5 linked regions of the Xenopus tropicalis genome follow. The protein of the gene in region 1 interacts with the protein of each later gene in a biochemical or structural test. Links are inferred from orthologs where the notes say so. Each region holds a gene or a part of one and is shown on either strand. Other genes may lie near its edges.

Evidence for each region.
Region 2: the proteins of abcc4 (region 1) and slc9a3r1 form a complex in vitro, tested with the Homo sapiens proteins (3 studies listed by BioGRID and IntAct, with this or other methods). The link is inferred for Xenopus tropicalis from reciprocal best matches to the Homo sapiens genes ABCC4 and NHERF1.
Region 3: the proteins of abcc4 (region 1) and pdzk1 form a complex in vitro, tested with the Homo sapiens proteins (2 studies listed by BioGRID and IntAct, with this or other methods). The link is inferred for Xenopus tropicalis from reciprocal best matches to the Homo sapiens genes ABCC4 and PDZK1.
Region 4: the proteins of abcc4 (region 1) and snta1 form a complex in vitro, tested with the Homo sapiens proteins (2 studies listed by BioGRID and IntAct, with this or other methods). The link is inferred for Xenopus tropicalis from reciprocal best matches to the Homo sapiens genes ABCC4 and SNTA1.
Region 5: the proteins of abcc4 (region 1) and mpp1 form a complex in vitro, tested with the Homo sapiens proteins (2 studies listed by BioGRID and IntAct, with this or other methods). The link is inferred for Xenopus tropicalis from reciprocal best matches to the Homo sapiens genes ABCC4 and MPP1.

The regions. Positions count from the first base shown.
Region 1 is NC_030678.2:122,375,910-122,379,970, forward strand, and holds the start of abcc4 (multidrug resistance-associated protein 4), read left to right. Parts: upstream 1-1,256; 5' UTR 1,257-1,489; coding exon 1,490-1,563; intron 1,564-4,061. UniProt on the Homo sapiens protein: ATP-dependent transporter of the ATP-binding cassette (ABC) family that actively extrudes physiological compounds and xenobiotics from cells.
Region 2 is NC_030686.2:43,958,971-43,963,257, forward strand, and holds the start of slc9a3r1 (Na(+)/H(+) exchange regulatory cofactor NHE-RF1), read left to right. Parts: upstream 1-1,481; 5' UTR 1,482-1,500; coding exon 1,501-1,797; intron 1,798-4,287. UniProt on the Homo sapiens protein: Scaffold protein that connects plasma membrane proteins with members of the ezrin/moesin/radixin family and thereby helps to link them to the actin cytoskeleton and to regulate their surface expression. Necessary for recycling of internalized ADRB2.
Region 3 is NC_030678.2:8,067,092-8,070,603, forward strand, and holds part of pdzk1 (Na(+)/H(+) exchange regulatory cofactor NHE-RF3), read left to right. Parts: intron 1-2,095; coding exon 2,096-2,232; intron 2,233-2,414; coding exon 2,415-2,610; intron 2,611-3,411; coding exon 3,412-3,512. UniProt on the Homo sapiens protein: A scaffold protein that connects plasma membrane proteins and regulatory components, regulating their surface expression in epithelial cells apical domains.
Region 4 is NC_030686.2:41,868,220-41,872,452, forward strand, and holds the start of snta1 (alpha-1-syntrophin), read left to right. Parts: upstream 1-1,432; 5' UTR 1,433-1,475; coding exon 1,476-1,731; intron 1,732-4,233. UniProt on the Homo sapiens protein: Adapter protein that binds to and probably organizes the subcellular localization of a variety of membrane proteins. May link various receptors to the actin cytoskeleton and the extracellular matrix via the dystrophin glycoprotein complex.
Region 5 is NC_030680.2:40,899,036-40,903,239, forward strand, and holds the start of mpp1 (55 kDa erythrocyte membrane protein), read left to right. Parts: upstream 1-1,395; 5' UTR 1,396-1,505; coding exon 1,506-1,619; intron 1,620-3,256; coding exon 3,257-3,382; intron 3,383-4,204. UniProt on the Homo sapiens protein: Essential regulator of neutrophil polarity. Regulates neutrophil polarization by regulating AKT1 phosphorylation through a mechanism that is independent of PIK3CG activity.

The sequences.
Region 1 (4,061 bases):
GTTGAATGGTGTGTGACCTGTAGGTTGGTGTCTGACAGAATCTTCCTTATAATCAGGTGCGGGCCAAGCCGACCGGGTGCCCTAGGCAACCCGGTCAGCCAACTCCGCCCACCTCCCCGCCCCCCCAATGGCGCATGCGCGCCAAAGCACAGGAGGAGGTGCAGGGGGCAGTGCGATGATCAGTCATTGCCTCCACCGCTAAGCATTAGCGGTGGAGGCAATGACAAAGTAGAACTAGGGGTAGGCAGGAGAGGCTGCCTGGCACCCCTCAATCGTTGCGCCCTAGGCAGCTGCCTCTTCTGACTACCCCTAGTTCCGGCCCTGCTTATAATGGTTCCGTTTACTCTGGTCAGATGTCCCACGAGAGATTCAAGCCAGGCCTGTATTTATATATAAACAGCATTTGGGGAGGTGCCCCTTTACAGTAATCTTTGCAGCTCTCTATACCAACATATATTTATTAGTATACTAAAGGGAGGGTAGTATTAGGCTAATTCGATCAGACAAATGATCAAATTCCAATGGCGGGCATAGGTGCCTTTGGAGCGCATCAAGAAGCCGATGTGATCCCCGATTCGACAGGAAAATCAAACCCACTCAATCGAGATCTGCCCAATTCTAGACCAGATATCTGTTAGGGAGGCCTGTTGGGAGTGCCCATTTACAGGCAGATAAGCTGCCAAAATGGTATGAAGGACTTAAATCAGCAGATGAAATCGGCCCATGTATGGCCACCTTTAGGGCAGTGACACACAGGGAGATTAGTTGCACCACTATGAATCTTCCTTACCACAGGCGACTAATCTCCCCCCAATGCCATTCCACTGGCAAGAATGTTTCCTTGAGAGGAAACTTGGGGAAATTGTAGCAACACGTGTGCCACCCTACTGGCAATTCACATTCTTGCCGGTGGTACGGCATTATATGCCCGCAGAAACAATGTTGCGGTGCGACTAATCTCCCAGCCTGCCACTGCCCAATAGAGTTTAGAAGCCCACACAAATGTCTTCTAGTCCGAAATGCCTGGCACCCTTTTAATGGCACACAGGTTACTCTGATTTCCACTCATTCATTACAAAAGTGCTGCCTAACCACGTATGAATACAACCTACCCATTTTTCTGTTGCTCCCAGTTGTAAGCTGGAGAGTCACCTTCTACAATCAGCAACTGTGCAAACTTGCGCCCAGGCCCACATGACTACCAACCTTAATCTAAACAAAGGCCGCCCCGCCTCCGACTTAATCGCCTCTGACGCGAAGCAGCTCGACTGCATGTGGGGTAATAAAGAGCCAGCAGCCAATCAGATGTCCAGCATACGATGATAGGCGGAGCTACGCGGTAAAGCCGTGCGCTGCTGCTGTTGCTGAGTGCTGGGGCAGTGGAAGTGTGCGGTGGGACATACCGTGCGGGGGGCTGTCATCGAGTGTGTGGTTTCGGTTGTGTGCCCGGCTCCCCCCATGTGTAGCTGAATACTCTGAAGCAAAGAGAATGCAGCCGGTGCCAAAGGGAAGTAAAGCGAACCCCTCGCAGCATGCCAACTTTTGCTCCAAGATCTTCTTCTGGTAAGCGCTGCTTTCCTGTTGCTAATGCCACACACACAGGGATCTTTATGTCGCTCTGTCTGTCATGTGGCTAGTTACTTGAACTATATATAATATTAGATAAGCAGTCAGGACCTGCATGCTCGGTGCACTTTGTTTCGTGCCCTTCGTGAACTACTTCAGTAACCTTTGCACATTCTCTCACCTTTTAATTGCCTTTATGTCTGCCTTTGGCTCCGTGCCATGTGGTACTTACTGATGTGCGTCTGCTGCTCCCCCCCCACCCCACCATCTTTCACCCGGATACATAGAATAGTAGTAGAGCCAATGTCATGTACCTTAATAGGAATGTAATGCAGGGTCTCTAGTAATGGGCACTGAGACTTGAGGGGCACAGAGCAGCGCTATTCAACATGAATAGTTGTGCAGTTTGGGCTATAGCTCCAAGAACACTGCAGATTTATTCATTTGTTTCAAATGTAACTGTATATTAAGGCAAGATGTTTTTTAAAATTGGCCTCATTGGCCCAGTATTCATTATGAGTTAGGGAAGTCTGGGGTGTGGGGGGGTAATTGATTGTGTGCTCTTGATCCCCCCTGGAATACCGTGTATGACAACCACAGCTCTACATGTCCCTTGGCAGGTCCCCTAATGCTGTTCATCTGGAGGGCTTGCTCTGTGATGTTTGGGCAGCCCTGCATTGCCCCAAGTACCACCAGTAATAACACTGTCCTCTTACTCATTTGTATACATAGTCCAAGTTCTATAGGTCTACGAACTATTGCCAGTGTCATATACATGTTGTGGGCTTTAGTGTGAATTAAAACATAGACATTTACAAATCATTATGGACCATGTGTTATGGGAACCTCCGGAACTGCAGGAAAAGTATGTCAAAGAAATAAGTGCCTGGCAGGGGTCTGATAAAGATATATATATATATGAAGGTGCAGAAAATAAAATTATTTATTCACTTCAGAATACTGCGCCATTCAACTTGCTTGCATTAACTCCCAAAGAATAGTCAGGGACCCTTTCCCTCTGGTGACTTTTGTGGTCATAGTGTTCTTCCTTTCCAGGAAGTTGTGGTACCTTTGTGGTACATATATAGCCCCCCCCCCTGCGTCGTTTCTGCTGTTGTAAACAGCAACAAATAACAAGAAGCTCCTCTGGCTACAGGGTGTTTAATAAGTATGCACAAACTGCCTGTAAGGAACCTCAGCATCCCTGAAACTCAGTGTGGGCCACTTGCTAGGTTAATCAGATAATAGAGCCTTTCCAGCAGAATTTTATTTTGAAATATCACATGGGTCTAGCGGCTAGCCATATCCTTCTTTTCTCAGGGTACCACAGCCATGTGACCTGTGCTCTGATATACTTTAGTCACTCTTTATTGCTGCGCTGCAAGTTGGAGTTACATCACCCCCCTCCCTTTCTCCCCCAGCAGCCGATCAACAGAACAATGGGAAGGGAGCAAGATAGCAGCTCCCTGATACCTGTATTGCTAAAAGTGGTAGAATAGCACTCAATAGTAAAAAATCAAAGTCCGGCTTGGGACTCCTCCAGTTACACTGAACATGAGAAACAATGGGTTACCTGAAAGAAGTTTTAATGTGTAGCGCTGGCTCGTTCTGAAAGCTCACAATCAGCCTCATGAGATGGCGCCTACACACCAATATTACATCTACAAAAAAAATACATTTGTTGGTTCAAGAATAAAATTTTAAATGGTAGAGTGAATTTTTTGTAATGTAAACAGTGTAATTTAGAAATAAAAAGTATACCTAAAATCATGACAGAATCCCTTTAACAGAATATTTACTACATTAGAGGTCATTATTACCGGTTGATTGTTTTTTTTTTTTTAACACTTATGCAAACCACACAAAAGGTAACTGTAACTAAGAGTCTGTTTAGTACCATTGTAATATAATTCTGTGTATATTTCAGTTACAGTTTGCAATCTTTGCACCAATTTCTGCTATTTAATTTGACTTCCCAAAATAATATAAGTTATATACAAAATTATTAGTCAGAGGTAATACATGCCTTGGTTAGATTTTTCAGTGATCCTAAGAAGGTGCAAAGTTTTGAGTAAAGTTGGCAAGCAGCCGTGTGATGCATTGACATACAGTAACAGAACAAAGGTTGGCACGAGACTCTAATTTCTCTTACGATTTTTCCCGTATCTGCCCTTGGATTTCACTTCAGGATTTAAAAGCTTTTCAGTAGATAATTTATTCAATATTTCATAGTTGTGTGTGCACTTACAGTGTATATACACTGTAAAATGGTATAAATATATAATGCAAATAAACTGTACATGTGGAGTGTTTTGACTACAGCTGTGCTCAGAAGAAAACAGTAATATAATTTTCAATACTGTTATTAATATTAGCATAATAGTACAGTTGTAAATTAAAAGTTCACTTGCCCTTTATTGATCATCTTTTCTCTTCTCCATTTCTGTCTCCATATGGAAATACATAACTTAACATATCTATATAATTGTCCTGTC
Region 2 (4,287 bases), on another chromosome or scaffold:
AGCTCACACAGGCAAAAGGGATCCACAAGTGGGCTTTAATATGGGGCTCGCTACAGGGGTGCTACTCTGGATGCCTGGCTCCCCCATCATTCACAGAACCCACCACCAACCAAACTCATGGGGAACAGGGCATCACAGCTGGGTGGGGGAGGGATTCCCCTATAGTTAACCCACTGGTTCTCCTAGTGCACCCTGACTTGTGTGGTTCTAACCGAGGGGCGTTCTAGGGGGACCCCATGTGCTGCACACCCAGCAGGGTTGGACTGGGGGGTGCAGGGCCCACCGGGGCTCCCGCCCCAGGGGCCCTGCAAGTGCCCCAGCCGCGTCCCCTAACCCCCCCAGGGGCCCCCCTAACCCCCCCGCCTGACGTCCTCCCCGAGCGCGTATAAATTGAACGCGTCAGGGGAGGAACAGTCAGTAGGGGGAGCGCCGGCAAAGGTCGGACTGGGCCCACTAGGGCGGCCCAGTCCGACCCTGGCACCCAGTGTTGGACCAGCCAACCATGATACCAGGAAAACTCCCGCTGGGCCCAGGGGTCAGTGGGCCTTCCTGCTCCTGACCATTTGGCCTGTTTCATGGTCATTCCCTATTTCTGAATGGGAAGAAAGAGAAGGAATAGATGGAAGAATAGATGCTAGCATGTAAATAAAACAGACTAGGAGAATAAAATGGTTGTGAAGAAAGGAGGATATTTTGGAGAATGGGCCCATGGTCTTAGGTTCTCTGGTGGGCCCCTGGGGTCCCAGTGCGCACCTCTGCCGCTTCCGAATTCAGCATATATATTGTGTCATGCACAGCTCTCTAGAATGGCACCCCGGTGAGCAAATAACACTGAGCTAAACAGCACAATAATGGTAGCCTCAGTGAGGGGCAGTGCCTGAGGAGCTGTATGAGGCGAGGGGCAGGTGCATGCCAGGGTACTGGGGAGTTGTACTGCTCCCTCCTCTCACATTCTTTGGATGCCTCAAGCTGCTCATTAATCTCCAGTGCAAAGTCCCCATGCTGAATGCACTAATTGCTCACTATTATAAACACTGCTGCCATCATCAACCCCCCCACCCCTCCCCTCACTGGCACAGCTCCACCCTGCTGCCTGAGGTGCTGCAATAATACTCTATGTTCTGTCATACTCAGTTGGGTCAGTCTATGTACAGGTTTATAGATGCTGCTTGGATGTCAAATGACCCATTAAAGTGGTTTCACTGACAGCAGACATGTAAAGATGCCACCTGTGCCTATGGGCCGTATTATATTCCCCGGGTCACATGACTCGGCGGCACTGATTAAACTTTACTCTGAGGGCCCGAATCCCGCGTAAGCTCATTGGAATAGGCGCGCCTCTCTCTGAACTTTCTCCTCCAATCACGTCCCTCGGCAATACTGTCCCCGCCCTCTTATTGGACATCTCTCATATTTGTCACCGCCGCGCCCTCCCTTTCGCTATATAATCTATAAGCTGGCAGAGCCTGAGTTCAGTCAGGCGCAGAGTAGCGGCTCGATATGGCTTCGGAGCGGGTGTGCGTGTTGGAAAAGGGGGATTCGGGCTACGGGTTTCATCTGCACAGTGAGAAGACCCGGCCGGGCCAGTATGTGAGGCTGGTGGAGCCTGGCTCAGCAGCTGAGAAAGCAGGACTGAGGGCAGGGGACCGGCTCATCCGGGTGTGCGGGGAGGATGTGAGGGAACTCGGGCACCAGCAGGTGGTGAGCAAAATCCGGGCAGCGACTGAGAAACTCACCTTGGAGGTACAGGGAGTAGAGGAGGAGGTGGCCCCCAGCTCCCCTAAAGAAGAAAACAAGGTACTCGGCTCAGAGCGAATTATGGGGGCAGCCTGGCGAGCCCACTGCACCTGGTCACATGACTTGCCTACTGGAGTCCTGCTGATAATAGCTTCCCCTTCAGTATGGGGGGGTCGGGGCAGTTTGCTGGCTTTATACGTAGTATCCTACCCCTGCTAAGTGATGCCATGCAGTGCCAGGGTATATACTGCTCTTGCTAGAGTTTCTAATGCTGAACTTGTGTTTGCATAGTGGATAATGTACCCCCTATTGTAAAATATAAGGATATTATAAGTCAGAGAGGAGTTCCTTATAATATATAGTGACTAAAGTACCCCCTATTGTAACATATAGGGATATTATAAGTCCCTGAGGAGTTCCTTATAATATATAGTGAATAAAGTACCCCCTATTGTAACATATATGGATTTTATAAGCCCCTGAGGAGTTCCTTATAATATATAGTGAATAAAGTACCCCCTATTGTAACATATAGGGATATTATAAGTCACAGAGGGGTTCCTTATAATATATAGTGAATAAAGTCCCCCCTATTGTAACATAGGGATATTATAAGTCACAGAGGGGTTCCTTATAATATATGGTGAATAAAGTACCCCCTATTGTAACATATAGGGATTTTATAAGTCACAGAGGGGTTCCTTATAATATATAGTGAATAATGTACCCCCTATTGGAACATATAGGGATATTATAAGTCACAGAGGAGTTCCTTATATAGTGAATAAAGTACCCCCTATTGTAACATATAGGGATTTTATAAGTCACAGAGGGGTTCCTTATAATATATAGTGAATAAAGTGCCCCCTATTGTAACATATAGGGATATTATAAGTCACAGAGGAGTTCCTTATATAGTGAATAAAGTACCCCCTATTGTAACATATAGGGATTTTATAAGTCACAGAGGGGTTCCTTATAATATATAGTGAATAAAGTGCCCCCTATTGTAACATATAGGGATTTTATAAGTCACAGAGGGGTTCCTTATAATATATAGTGAATAATGTACCCCCTATTGGAACATATAGGGATATTATAAGTCACAGAGGAGTTCCTTATAATATATAGTGAATAATGTACCCCCCTATTGTAAAATATAAGGATATTATAAGTCACAGAGGAGTTCCTTTACTATATAAAAGCATGAGCTGAAGGCTGACTTGTAATATCCTCATATTTTACAACAGGGGGCACTTTATTATAATATCCAAGTTTTAGTGATTTGTGTGACAGAAATTACATCACTGAGCTCTGATTATAACTGATGACATCACTAGGCACCGTTTATAAGGATCCCATAGGGGAGTGATCAAACTGTAAATTATAAAGATATAATCAAAGAGCCATGATTTCCTGTAAAATGGGTTCTTCTACGTGGTGCATAGTGATGTCATCAGTTATCTTTAATTTTAATGATGTAATTTGTCATATGACTCACTGTGTCTATAAAAACCGTACCACTATTATATAATATGATATTAGAAGTCACCATTTGTTCCATGACCAATAGAACGCCTTGTGGTTTTAGACTGGTCATGGAATGCCAACAACCATTGACCTCATGTCCTTATATCAGTGATCCTCAACCAGTGGCTCAGGGGCAACTTGTTGCTCCCCAACCCCTTGGATGTTGCTCCCAGTGGCCTTCAAACAGGGGCTTATTTTTGAATTCCTGGCTTGGGGGCAAGTTTTGGAGGCATAAAAAACAGGTGTACTGCCAAACAGAGCCTCCTGTAAGCTGCCAGTCCATATAGGGGCTACCAAATAGCCAATCACAGCCCTTATTTGGCACCCCTAGGAACAGGTTTCATGCTCGTGTTGCTCCCCAAGTCTTTTTACATTTGAATGTGGCTCACAGGTAAAAAAGGTTTGGGACACCTGCCTTATATGGATCTCTTTAACTTTTAATATCCTTATAATTTACAATTGGGGGTACGCTATTCTCCGTTTAGTGGATCGGCCACACACGGCAGCCAAGCTGATGATGGATGCCGCTGTCATTAGTGGGAAGCAAACTATGGGCCAGAGAGTAATCGGGACCCCACAGGGTATAAGTTCCAGGAAAGGCTTCTAGGAAGGGACTTTATAACAGAGGCTCGGCTGTCTCGGCACAACTATTCTAGATACAAAGTCAGTTGCAGCTCAACAAGCTTTTTGCCCCTGGGCCTTGCCAGCACTAAAGACAGCCCTGGCATGGCACCGCTCCAGTCTGGTGTGGCAGCTTCAGCTGGGTACCTGAGTGCCTCAGTTGCCTGGCATGAATCCTAGACTTGGGTATTTAATTCTTTCTATAGAGAAGGGTATATAGTACCCTATGTGTTGGTGGTGGTGGAGCTGTGCCATTATCCTGGATTGGCATCAATTACCAGCCTATGTACCAATCAGAACCCCCCCCCTCCTCCTCCAAGTAGAACTGACATATGTTTCTGAGTAATGCCCACTTTATCTAGACCAATGATCCCCAACCAGTGGCTTGGGGCAACATGT
Region 3 (3,512 bases), about 110 Mb from region 1:
TGAATTTTTCAAGCGCCCTGAGATAGGGAATTTTCTGATAACTTGTTATTCGAACGCTATTCAGAAATATTGCATTATTTGGTGGAGTACTGGGCATTTAGCCAGGTGATTCACTGCTCCTGCGTAATGAGTACCACAATGATACTTACCAGCTTATACAGTGAACACTCCAATTGATCCTCAGTATAAAGTAAATGTGGATTAAATAAAGACACAACACATGACTGTGGAATAAATTTATTACACGGATGGTGAGACTATTTTCAACTCTCTGTAAGGAATTTCCTCCTACTAATACTTACCGAAGTTATTTAATCACGAGTTTTTCTGTAAACTTCACAAAGCGCTCTGTGCAGATCAAAAACTTACCTGGGTAATAAAACTGCGAATTATAAAGGTTGAGATTAGTTTACTTACCTGGATATAAAGCCACGACTTTCCTTTAGAAGCCATACAGGATACTTCTGTGCAGACCAATTATAGAATTGTTACAAATGTAACTAAACAATTACGACACTAAAGATACCTTATTAAGTAACAATTTCTAGGAGTGAAAGAGCTAGAACTGCAACAGATTCAATGTGTGATAGTGTACATTTTAAAATTTCTTTTCTTTTTCTTTCTATCTATTTTAAGTATTTTAATACCAAGAAGTAAAAGTTATATTTTAATCCTAATAGGTGTGCCAGTCTTGCCTTTTTGTGTCTATAACACGATATAGTATCCATCAATATACGCAGCGCTTTAAAGAATAGAGGGGTACAAAATATAGAACAGTTAACATGTACATATAAACAATTCACAGAAATGGGTTGCAGTTACATTGGATGAGGATCGGAGGCACTAGGGGGAGGGCCCTGCTCGCAAGAGCTTACATTCTAAAAGGGGGGGCTAAGACATAAGGTCAGGGTAACTAGCATGGCGTTGGAGTTCGTGTAGGTGTGTAAAGTGACAGTAAGTGCGGAGGTGGAAACCAGTGGTTCCTGAGTGTTTGAGGGAAGATTAGGGGGGCTCAGTGGGGTAATCGTATTTGGGGGTTTAGGTTATAGGAGTGAAAAGGTGAGTTTTAAGAGACCATAAAGGCTTGGAGAGTCTGGCAGTGCCTAATGGGATGGGGAAGAGCGTTCCAGAGGATGGGTGCAGCACGTGAGAAGTCCTGGGTGCGAGAGTGAGAGGAGGTGATGAGTGAGGAGGAGAGAAGGAGGTGTAAAGCGAAGGGTATGTCTGGGGGTGCACTTGGGGATTAGGGGGGTTAAATAGAGCGGTGCGGCACCAGTGAGTGCTTTGTAGGTGGGTACAAGAATCTTGAACTGAATCCTGTACATGAGAGGTAACCAGTCCTGGGGTTGGCAGAGAGAGGCGGCACTTGGGGAGCGGGAGGAGAGGTGTATGAGTCTTCTGGCAGCACTGTTCATGATGGATTGGGGTGGGGTCAGTTTATACAGGGGAAGCCCACAGAGCAGTGAGTTGCAGTAGTTCTTTAGGAGAAGATTATTTGGGAAGAAAAATACCACAGACTACTTCAAAAACCATTGGTTCATTGGGGAATTGTTCTTGCGTTGATCATGAAACCTTCTTTCCTCCAGGAGTAATAGACCTCCTATTGCATAGTGGTTTAAAGGCAATGGGAAACACGGTGACTCCAGCCTTTTTCATAAGAAATGGTGTATCTACTACTAGTAGGCCCCATGACTGCACGGAATCCAAGGACAGACCTGTTAAGGAGTCTGTCTTCTACTTCCATACTCGCCCCCTTCATCCTTCCTGTGCCTGTCCCATAGCATCTTCCAGTGATGTCCTCCATAACCCTCTTGAAGAGGGGTTGGGGCGGAGAGGGGGTAGAGTTGGCTGGCATTTAGTGACAAATTGGATGGGGGCCAGAAAATGGTTTACAAGAAGGCCAGCTGGGTCACATTAAGTTAGACCTAATACCCCCTTTAGATGGTTGAATTGGGCAATCATGAAGTAGGAAGAGATTGGAAGGATCTTTCAGCACCAAGACATAAAAAACAAAGAGCAGAACTATCTAAAGAAGTGTTTATGGATAAAACCAATAATTTACTATGCGTTTAATGCTAAATGTTGTCACATTCAGGTGAGAATGGAATATTCTTGTCAGCGCTGGTACCCAATGGGATTGCAGCCAAAGCCGGCGTCAAGGACGACGATCGTATCATTGAAGTGAATGGAAAAAATGTAGAAGATTCCACTCATGACAAGTTGGCCAAAATGGTACGAGTGGGTGGGAATGGGAGTGATATTCACTGGCAGTGGGGGGTGTGATTTTCTGCTATATAGTAACGTAAATGCACCAAATCCCAAGCTTTTGAATGACTACAATATAATGCCTTCTACATTTGACCCAATTCATCCTTTACTCACATTATCTGACTGAAAGCAATTCTTTCCTTCAGCTGAAGGAATCGGGGGGCAAAATCATGTTCCTTGTCTCAGACAAGGCGACCGACGAGTACTTCAAGAGTCAGACGATGGCGATTACCGCAGACAAAGCCAACGTGGAGCTGCTGCCTTCTAAACCAAGAACCGTGGAGCTGAAGAAGGACACTAACGGCTACGGGTTTTATTTGCGGCAAGAAAAAAACCGTAAAGGTAAAAAAAATAGTGATTTGTTTGGATCTGTTATTATCCACACACCTCCTGTTGTAAAATATCCTTATAAATGGTGCTTGGGGATGTCATCAATTCTTAGTGATGTCACTTCTGTCACGTGACTCACTGGAACTTGTGTATTATAATAAATAATGTATCCCTTTTTTGTAAAATATGAGGATATTAGAAGCCACCTCAGAGTTCCACGGCCTGTATAAAAGCACAATGCCTGCAGCCTTGTGCCTTTATATGGTCATGGAACTTCTCAGTGACTGCTAATATCCTTATCATTTACAGTAGGGGGTACATTATCCCTTATAATACATGAGTGATACTCAGAGTTCCCTGTATAACTCAGCCTGCAGCCTTGTGCCTTTATATGGGGGGCACAGAACCCCTCAGTGACTGCTAATATCCTTATCATTTACAGTAGGGGGTACATTATCTCTTATAATACATGAGTGATACTCAGAGTTCCCTGTATAACTCAGCCTGCAGCCTTGTGCCTTTATATGGGCACAGAACCCCTCAGTGACTGCTAATATCCTTATCATTTACAGTAGGGGGTACATTATCCCTTATAATACATGAGTGATACTCAGAGTTCCCTGTATAACTCAGCCTGCAGCCTTGTGCCTTTATATGGGCACAGAACCCCTCAGTGACTGCTAATATCCTTATATTTTACAATAGGGGGTACATTACTCACGATATAGTATTGCTCGGTGACTTCAAATACCCTTCTAATTTACAGTAGAATAACTCTTTATGAACTGGCCCCATTTTCCATGTTGGTTACAGGTCACTTTATTATGGAGATTGACTCAGGGAGCCCAGCGGAGAAGGCCAAGCTGCAGGACTACGATCGCATCGTTGCAGTAAATGGAGAGTGTGTGGAGGCG
Region 4 (4,233 bases), on another chromosome or scaffold:
TATAGAGGCAGGGAGTAGTGGGCAGAATATAGAGGTAGGCAGGCAGTAGTGGGCAGAATATAGAGGTAGGCAGGGAGTAGTGGGCAGAGTATTGAGGTAGGCAGGGAGTAGTGGGCAGAATATAGAGGTAGGCAGGGAGTAGTGGGCAGAGTATTGAGGTAGGCAGGGAGTAGTGGGCAGAATATAGAGGTAGGCAGGGAGTAGTGGGCAGAATATAGAGGTAGGCAGGGAGTAGTGGGCAGAATATAGAGGTAGGCAGGGAGTAGTGGGCAGAATATAGAGGCAGGGAGTAGTGGGCAGAGTGTTGAGGTAGGCAGGGAGTAGTGGGCAGAATATAGAGGCAGGGAGTAGTGGGCAGAGTATTGAAGTAGGCAGGGAGTAGTGGGCAGAATATAGAGGTAGGCAGGGAGTAGTGGGCAGAATATAGAGGTAGGCAGGGAGTAGTGGGCAGAATATAGAGGTAGGCAGGAGTAGTGGGCAGAATATAGAGGTAGGCAGGGAGTAGTGGGCAGAATTTAGAGGCAGGGAGTAGTGGGCAGAATATAGAGGTAGGCAGGGAGTAGTGGGCAGAATATAGAGGTAGGCAGGGAGTAGTGGGCAGAATATAGAGGCAGGAGTAGTGGGCAGAGTGTTGAGGTAGGCAGGGAGTAGTGGGCAGAATATAGAGGCAGGGAGTAGTGGGCAGAGTATTGAAGTAGGCAGGGAGTAGTGGGCAGAATATAGAGGTAGGCAGGGAGTAGTGGGCAGAGTATTGAGGTAGGCAGGGAGTAGTGGGCAGAGTGTTGAGGTAGGCAGGGAGTAGTGGGCAGAGTGTTGAGGTAGGCAGGGAGTAGTGGGCAGTACTGACATTATACAGCAGGTACAGGAGGGCACAGGTTGGCACCGTATGTCGGGCAGTATGACGGGATGTATTTAGTGGGCACAGGACTGGGTGAGGGGAGGCAGAGTGGCATTTAGTGGGCACAGGACTGGGTGAGGGGATGCAGAGTGGCACTTAGTGGGCACAGGACTGAGTGAGGGGAGGCAGAGTGGCACTTAGTGGGCACAGGACTGGGTGAGGGGAGGCAGAGTGGCACTTAGTGGGCACAGGACTGGGTGAGGGGAGGCAGAGTGGCACTTAGTGGGCACAGGACTGGGTGAGGGGAGGCAGAGTGGCACTTAGTGGGCACAGGACTGGGTGAGGGGAGGCAGAGTGGCACTTAGTGGGCACAGGACTGGGTGAGGGGAGGCAGAGTGGCACTTAGTGGGCACAGGACTGGGTGAGGGGAGGCAGAGTGGCACTTAGTGGGCACAGGACTGAGTGAGGGGAGGCAGAGTGGCACTTAGTGGGCACAGGACTGAGTGAGGGGAGGCAGAGTGGCACTTAGTGGGCACAGGACTGGGCAGGGCGGTCCCACATGTGCAGCCCCAGCCCGGGGAGGCGCTCTCACTCCCCCTCCCTCCCCTCCCTCTATCCCTGTCCGGGCACTCTGGCCATGGCTTCCCCGGGCACGGCTCACCGGAGCGGGCTGCTGGAGCTGCGCTGTCCCGGGGAGCGCTGGGTGCGGGTACTGCTGCTGCTCGGAGAGGAGACTGTGACTTTCACCCCGGAGCCGGAGCCCGGGGCAGCGGAGGAGAAGGCGCTGAACGGCGCGGAGCCGGCGGGGGGGGTCCCGGAGTCTCTCATTAACCTGCGCCGGACTGTCAGGGTGCTCAAGCAGGATGCGGGGGGGCTGGGGGTCAGCATCAAGGGTAAGTACCCTGCTCGGAGCCCACCTTCCTTCTCTCCTGGGCTAACTCCCTGCTATGGTGCCCACTGGCATTACTAACTCCCTGCTATGGTGCCCACTGGCATTACTAACTCCCTGCTATGGTGCCCACTGGCATTACTAACTCCCTGCTATGGTGCCCACTGGCATTACTAACTCCCTGCTATGGTGCCCACTGGCATTACTAACTCCCTGCTATGGTGCCCACTGGCATTACTAACTCCCTGCTATGGTGCCCACTGGCATTACTAACTCCCTGCTATGGTGCCCACTGGCTTTACTAACTCCCTGCTATGGTGCCCACTGGCTTTACTAACTCCCTGCTATGGTGCCCACTGGCATTACTAACTCCCTGCTATGGTGCCCACTGGCTTTACTAACTCCCTGCTATGGTGCCCACTGGCTTTACTAACTCCCTGCTATGGTGCCCACTGGCATTACTAACTCCCTGCTATGGTGCCCACTGGCTTACTAACTCCCTGCTATGGTGCCCACTGGCTTTACTAACTCCCTGCTATGGTGCCCACTGGCATTACTAACTCCCTGCTATGGTGCCCACTGGCTTTACTAACTCCCTGCTATGGTGCCCACTGGCTTTACTAACTCCCTGCTATGGTGCCCACTGGCATTACTAACTCCCTGCTATGGTGCCCACTGGCTTTACTAACTCCCTGCTATGGTGCCCACTGGCTTTACTAACTCCCTGCTATGGTGCCCACTGGCATTACTAACTCCCTGCTATGGTGCCCACTGGCTTTACTTACTCCCTGCTATGGTGCCCACTGGCTTTACTAACTCCCTGCTATGGTGCCCACTGGCTTTACTAACTCCCTGCTATGGTGCCCACTGGCTTTACTAACTACCCTGCTATCATGCCAAGTCCTACACAGGCATTAACTGACTGTGCCCCCCTCTCCTTCTCCTGGGAATTCCTCACCAGTAACCAATCTTACAATGACTACTAACTAGCCCCCTAACGGTATGGCATTCCAGTGCCCTGCTACTATGCCCTGCTTTCCTACTGGCATTACTAACTACCCTGCTATAGTGCCCAGCACTGTTAATATTAACTAATGTAGTGCCCAGTTGAGGGCATTCCTACTTAGTACTCTATGATAGTGCCAAGTTCCACAGTGGCATAACAACCATGGTCCAGCTCTGTGTAGGGCATTTGACCATTGTACCCTGCTATAGCGCCCAGCTTCCACACTGACATTAGCCCAAAATAGTGTCCAGGGCACAATTACAAAGTATGCAGTGCCCAACTTTCCCTCCGGCAGTATTAACCCTCCCAGTGCAGTGCTACAGTGCCCAGCTTTCATACTGGCATTACTCACTACTTTGGTACAATAAACTCCCTGCCCACCTTTTTCTAGGGCATTTCTGGCTAATACCCCGATACTGTGCCCACATTTTACTTTGGCATTACTAAGTAGCCCAGTTCAGTGTTCTGCTTTCACTGTGGCATCACTTATTGCCCCTATTATAGTGCCTAGATTTCCCTCAGTACCCAAGAAATGCACCCACCTTCATTATGGTTAAGCCTGTCATTTTGTGCCAACCAGTGCTCATTATGTTGCCCAGCTCTGTGTGGCATTTCTATCCACCTCATTCTAGTGTGCATGCCAAATCTCAAGGCGGCATCCCAGCCTACCATGTTGTTGTGTATAACTCTAACTTGGCATTCCTGTCACTCTTATTATTATTCAGACCTCTCACTGTGCCCTCACCTCATTGTGCCATAATAATGTGTCTCTCTGGCAGTGCCAAAGCTACTACCTCAGTTCCCTTGGGATTTCATGCCCAACTCTCACTATGCTATTAATGCCTGCCAGCTTAATATGCCCATCTCTCATTATTTGTGCCAAACTGTGCCTCTTTCTGACTAAGCCAATGCCCCTTGCCTCGGTGCCCAACTCCCTATCCAGCTTACATGTAAATGATGGTGCCAATTATTGCCCTATATGTCCCGTGACTGTTGCTGGCAGTGCCCCAGCCCTGCGTCTGTACATCAGTGCCCCCTGTCACTCTCATTCATGGCTGCCCTTTCCTGCCTTTGTAGAGTTGCGTTACCACTGGGCTGAAATAGTGACGCTGGCATAGTTTGCCCCCATGTGTCAGTAGCACTTTCTATCTGGCCAGCCTCCAACTCTAGCTATTGCAACATGTTTATAGGGGGGAGGCTGGAACTTGCAGTAAGAGCTGAAGGGCTTCAGGTTGTATTATACCTAATTGGACCCACACAGAATATTTTGTCCTGGGCTCCCCTAGCCTTACTCTCCCCCCTTGGCTTGCCCACACACACACCCAGAGCCAAACACACTGCGGCACTAGTAAACTGATAGGCACCTAAACACTCACACACCAACAACTGCGCCACATTCCTGCCCAGTGAGGCAAGTGTCCAGCCACAATCACAGTGCGGCTTATCTCATAGGCCCCACAGCAGCAGGAAGAGGAGGCTCCTGGGAAAATGGCTTCTGAT
Region 5 (4,204 bases), on another chromosome or scaffold:
AAGCTAATTACCTATTAACTATTTAGGTGCCAACCCACCCAAGGTGTTGCACTATTACAGTATCACCCACCCTTTGGGTCTATCCTGGGGGTAACCAACCTAGGGGCCAATTTTGGAGATCCCTACACTAATATGACCATTCACAATTTTTTTTGTGGGGGTTTAAATACTTGTGGGAAAATACCATAAGAACTTATGTGCACACATACACTGTTTAGGATATTCAAATCGTAGAAATCTGACCGTATTTCATCATTCTAGCCCCCCCCCCCCCCCTCCCTTCGAGGCCTAACAGCCCAACATTTGGACAGAGTCACTCTTAGCTCACAACAAGGCTGCCACTCTGCCAGTATGTTACCAGCTAAGGCCGGAAGCAATTGTATTGGCAGTATATTATAATGCCCCTAACTTTTCCTCCTCCCTACCAGGGTTGCTACCTGTCCTTGTCTTTACAAGAGCTGTATGGGTTAAAACTGCATGTCCAGATTTTAGAAGTCTGAAACTCATAGTGTTCAACCTCGATTGAAGCATATTCCAACCAACCAAGGTCTGCTGTATTATAGCCTCAGGCCCAATGTCACCTACTGCGCCCCACTGCCATAGCACACAACATTCAATAGAGGCAGCCCTACTCCCTGCCGCCCAGTTTCACCCCCTACTTGCATTAAAATAATGCCCTCTGGCCTCATCACCCCACCACTGTCACTCCTCTGCCCTACCATATTGGCTGGTTAGAAGACCCAGCAGAGGTACTACAAATCACTCTAACTCACCTTGAATTGGCTTACAAGGAGAAAACCTGCAGTTTACCCAAATGTCTTCTTAACTTGCCTTCAGGCTAACCCCATTTCAGACTCAGTTTGGCAACCACTGTTTCAAGGGCAATAGCAATATTTTCAAAGAACGCGCTATTAGTGTGCCTTATTGACACCAAATAAAGACTACGAGTATATTTTTCACGCGTTATTTAGTCGTATTGGCATTAAAACTACACCTCATGCTGTTTCATACAATTACGAGTACCAATATTAACACATTCGTCTCCCCTTCCGGCCCTTATTTTTCTCTACCTCGACCCCCTCCTTCCCCCTCTTGCGATTCCCTGTTCATATGACAAGCATCACAGGTCATGTGACTCGGGAGAACACATTTTTTTGAGGACATAGGGAACGCAACCATCGGCTCGTTTTGTTGCGTTATTAAAAGAATGTTAAACCTATCTGAATATTTAGTAAATCTGTAATGCGCAAAGCCAAACATCAGGCTGGAAATACACGTGGACAGCGGTTTCTAAACAGTATTAAAAAAAAAAAAAAAAATTCGGTAAGGACTCCCCTGATACGTCATGGTAGGCGTCTGAATCCTCTATCTCTCTTAGACACTGTTCACTGACTCAGCCTATTCCTTGGGAGATAAAGGAGAAGAGGCAGAGGGGTTCGATAGTATAAACCGGTGCAGGTTTATACAGTGGAAACACCTAGGAAGGCGGAATACCTCGTCTCAGGATGTCAATGAAGTTTGAGCGCGCAGAGACCCCGTTGTGTGACAGTTCCAGTGTGAGGACTGCCCTGTCAGACCTGTATCTGGAGACCCTGCTGCAAAACCGGGGCTCAGCCAAGGTAAGAGCTACAAACAGGGAAACCATTCTGATGCCGTCAGTATCAGGTAACCGAACTGCAGGTCTCATATTGCGAGCTCCCTCATTTCCTGGGAGATTTATATCGCAGTATATTAGAATTCATTTTCTGTGTGATTTAAACATACTATAGCCTTTTGCGAACCGGCGAGTATGGGGTTAGCATTGCGGTTTCTCTGCGCGATGATCTTTGCTCTTCTACTTGTCAGCTGATAAGAAAATAGAGGATCAGCGAAAACGAGGCCATGGTACAGATAATAGGCTGCTGAATGGAGGGACATGTGCAGAGTACAGAGATCACAAGCGAGTAAAGGCACACCGGGCTACTAGTAGCAGCTACTTTTCCATTGCTACTAAACTCCAGAAAATACCTTCCCATAGACAATACTGAGAACAGCCTCTGCTAAAACACACCTAGAGACAGTCATCAGTAAATGCTGAACACTGTCTGTTTTAGTAGCTCCAACAAGTAGCTGCTACTAGTAGCTCCATGGGTCTTCACCCCAAGGGCAGTGGCACACATGGAGTTTAGTTTCCGAAATGAATCTTTGTTACCACCGGCGACTAATCTTGACATACCATCCCACCCGCAAGAATGCAAATCACCAGTGGGATGGCATACGTGTTGCTTTGGTTTCCCGAAGTTACCTCTAAAAGAAACTACGGGAAACGGAAGCATGTATGCCATCCCACCGGATGACATGTAGATGCGAAGATTTATCGCGGGCGACTAATCTCCACGTGTGCCACTGCCCTAACCCTGCTGCAAAACAAGTGGCCCTGCACCAATCGCCTATGAAATTGTCCATTCTGTAGAGCAGACACCACTGGGTGCGAGTTCTGAAGATTTAAAACTTTATTTTAAAGGGAATCTAAAACTTCATATCTTTATATAGTGAAAAAAAATTATTGTAAGCAACATTCCAATATACAACATTGTCAATGATAAATTTATAAATATTGCTTTCCACCTAAATCAGTTTAGCCCTTTCTGTTTGTCAGTTCTGACTACGGTGTAGTAGAATTTAGTCTCCAGCTGGTTTCTGCTATGTTGTAAAACCACTGAAAATGCTGACTTAATGTATACTGGAAAGTTGCTTAGAATTACGTTTGGTGATCTAAAATTTACAGATGTCTGCTCAGCTGCTTATGAGTGTTTACAGGCATAGTCAGTTGCGTAACTACCCTCCCTGGTCTTCCATCTGGTGCAGGGGGAAGGGGACCTGTTCCAAAAGTCACTCTTATAGCTTGCCACTGTTAATGGCTGAGTGTATCTTCTCCTGTACTCCATAAGCGAATGGCTATTGAGGGTCCAGACTGGGATTTGAAATAGACCCTGGCATTTCAAGTACATAGAGGCCGAAACAGCCCCCCACCAGCCCAACAGATATTGTTATTCTCCATGTAGTCACCTAGCCCTTTTGCTCTCTCCTTTCTTGTTTTAAGGTAACTGTAATGAGTTATACCAAATGCTTTACATCATTTCAGAATGATGTTAGACAGAAATATTGATGCAATGTTCTTAATATATTCTCTGTGTGATGAAATTTGCTATTTTCAGCTATTATTGCAAACTTGTAAATTCATCTGTGCTTGTACTAAACCTAGTGTACCCAACAGGGCTATCAAACCAGTGTCGGCTCTCACACAGAGGAGATTTACACAAATGGATCTGCAGCTTCAGGGACAGAGGAAAAGAAGAGAGTACGACTTGTTCAGTTTGAAAGAGAAACCGAAGAACCTATGGTAAGTAAAGGGACATAGGCAGAGGTCTGGAAAAATAGTTTTAAAAAAGCTGGATATTTAAAAGAAACGGGGAAAAAAAAACATATTTACAGACTAGAAAGCAAGTGGATCTAAGCAGAAGTGACGGTGAGCTGGACTTACACCCAATTCTGCATTTACTGATGCCCTATTAAGCCTCCAAAAGGGTCACTAGCATGTACAATTTTAAATTTGAAAAAAATTGATTGCCACCCAATAAAATCTCTATCCAAAACTGACCTTCCAGGCAAATTATTAGTCAAATAGAAAATATTAGTGAGAAAAAAGTCTAACTGGAAAAATGTTGCCTCTTATGACCCTAAAGTGTCATATAGCCATGGCAACAGTGTTGCTTAGACATGGAAGTATCATTTTACCTAAAGAATAGTTATTATGCTAAATAATTTAAAATATTATGTTCTCCCTCTCCCTAATCTTTATATTTTATATATTTTTTCAAGTATTCAATTTAAAATGGCATGCACTTTATAATCCGAATATATGTAAATGAAGCTCCAGTTAACATGGGAAATTATTCCAATAAGTATCAACACAGAGGGAAGGAAAGGTAATTCTGGACCGTTTGGGTCAAATCATGAATATATAGTCTTGGGGTGGAATGAAGGGACCAATAATATAATAAAGTGATCCAGCACTTGCAAATAAATTATCGGCTACAAAAGTCCAATTTTATCTGAAAAAGGTTTTCATTTATTGGGCCTGTTAGCAGACACACAGTGATCACTGTGAAGACAAATATCCAATATCCTTTTTGTATCTCTGCAAAACAAGCCAACTCTGTGC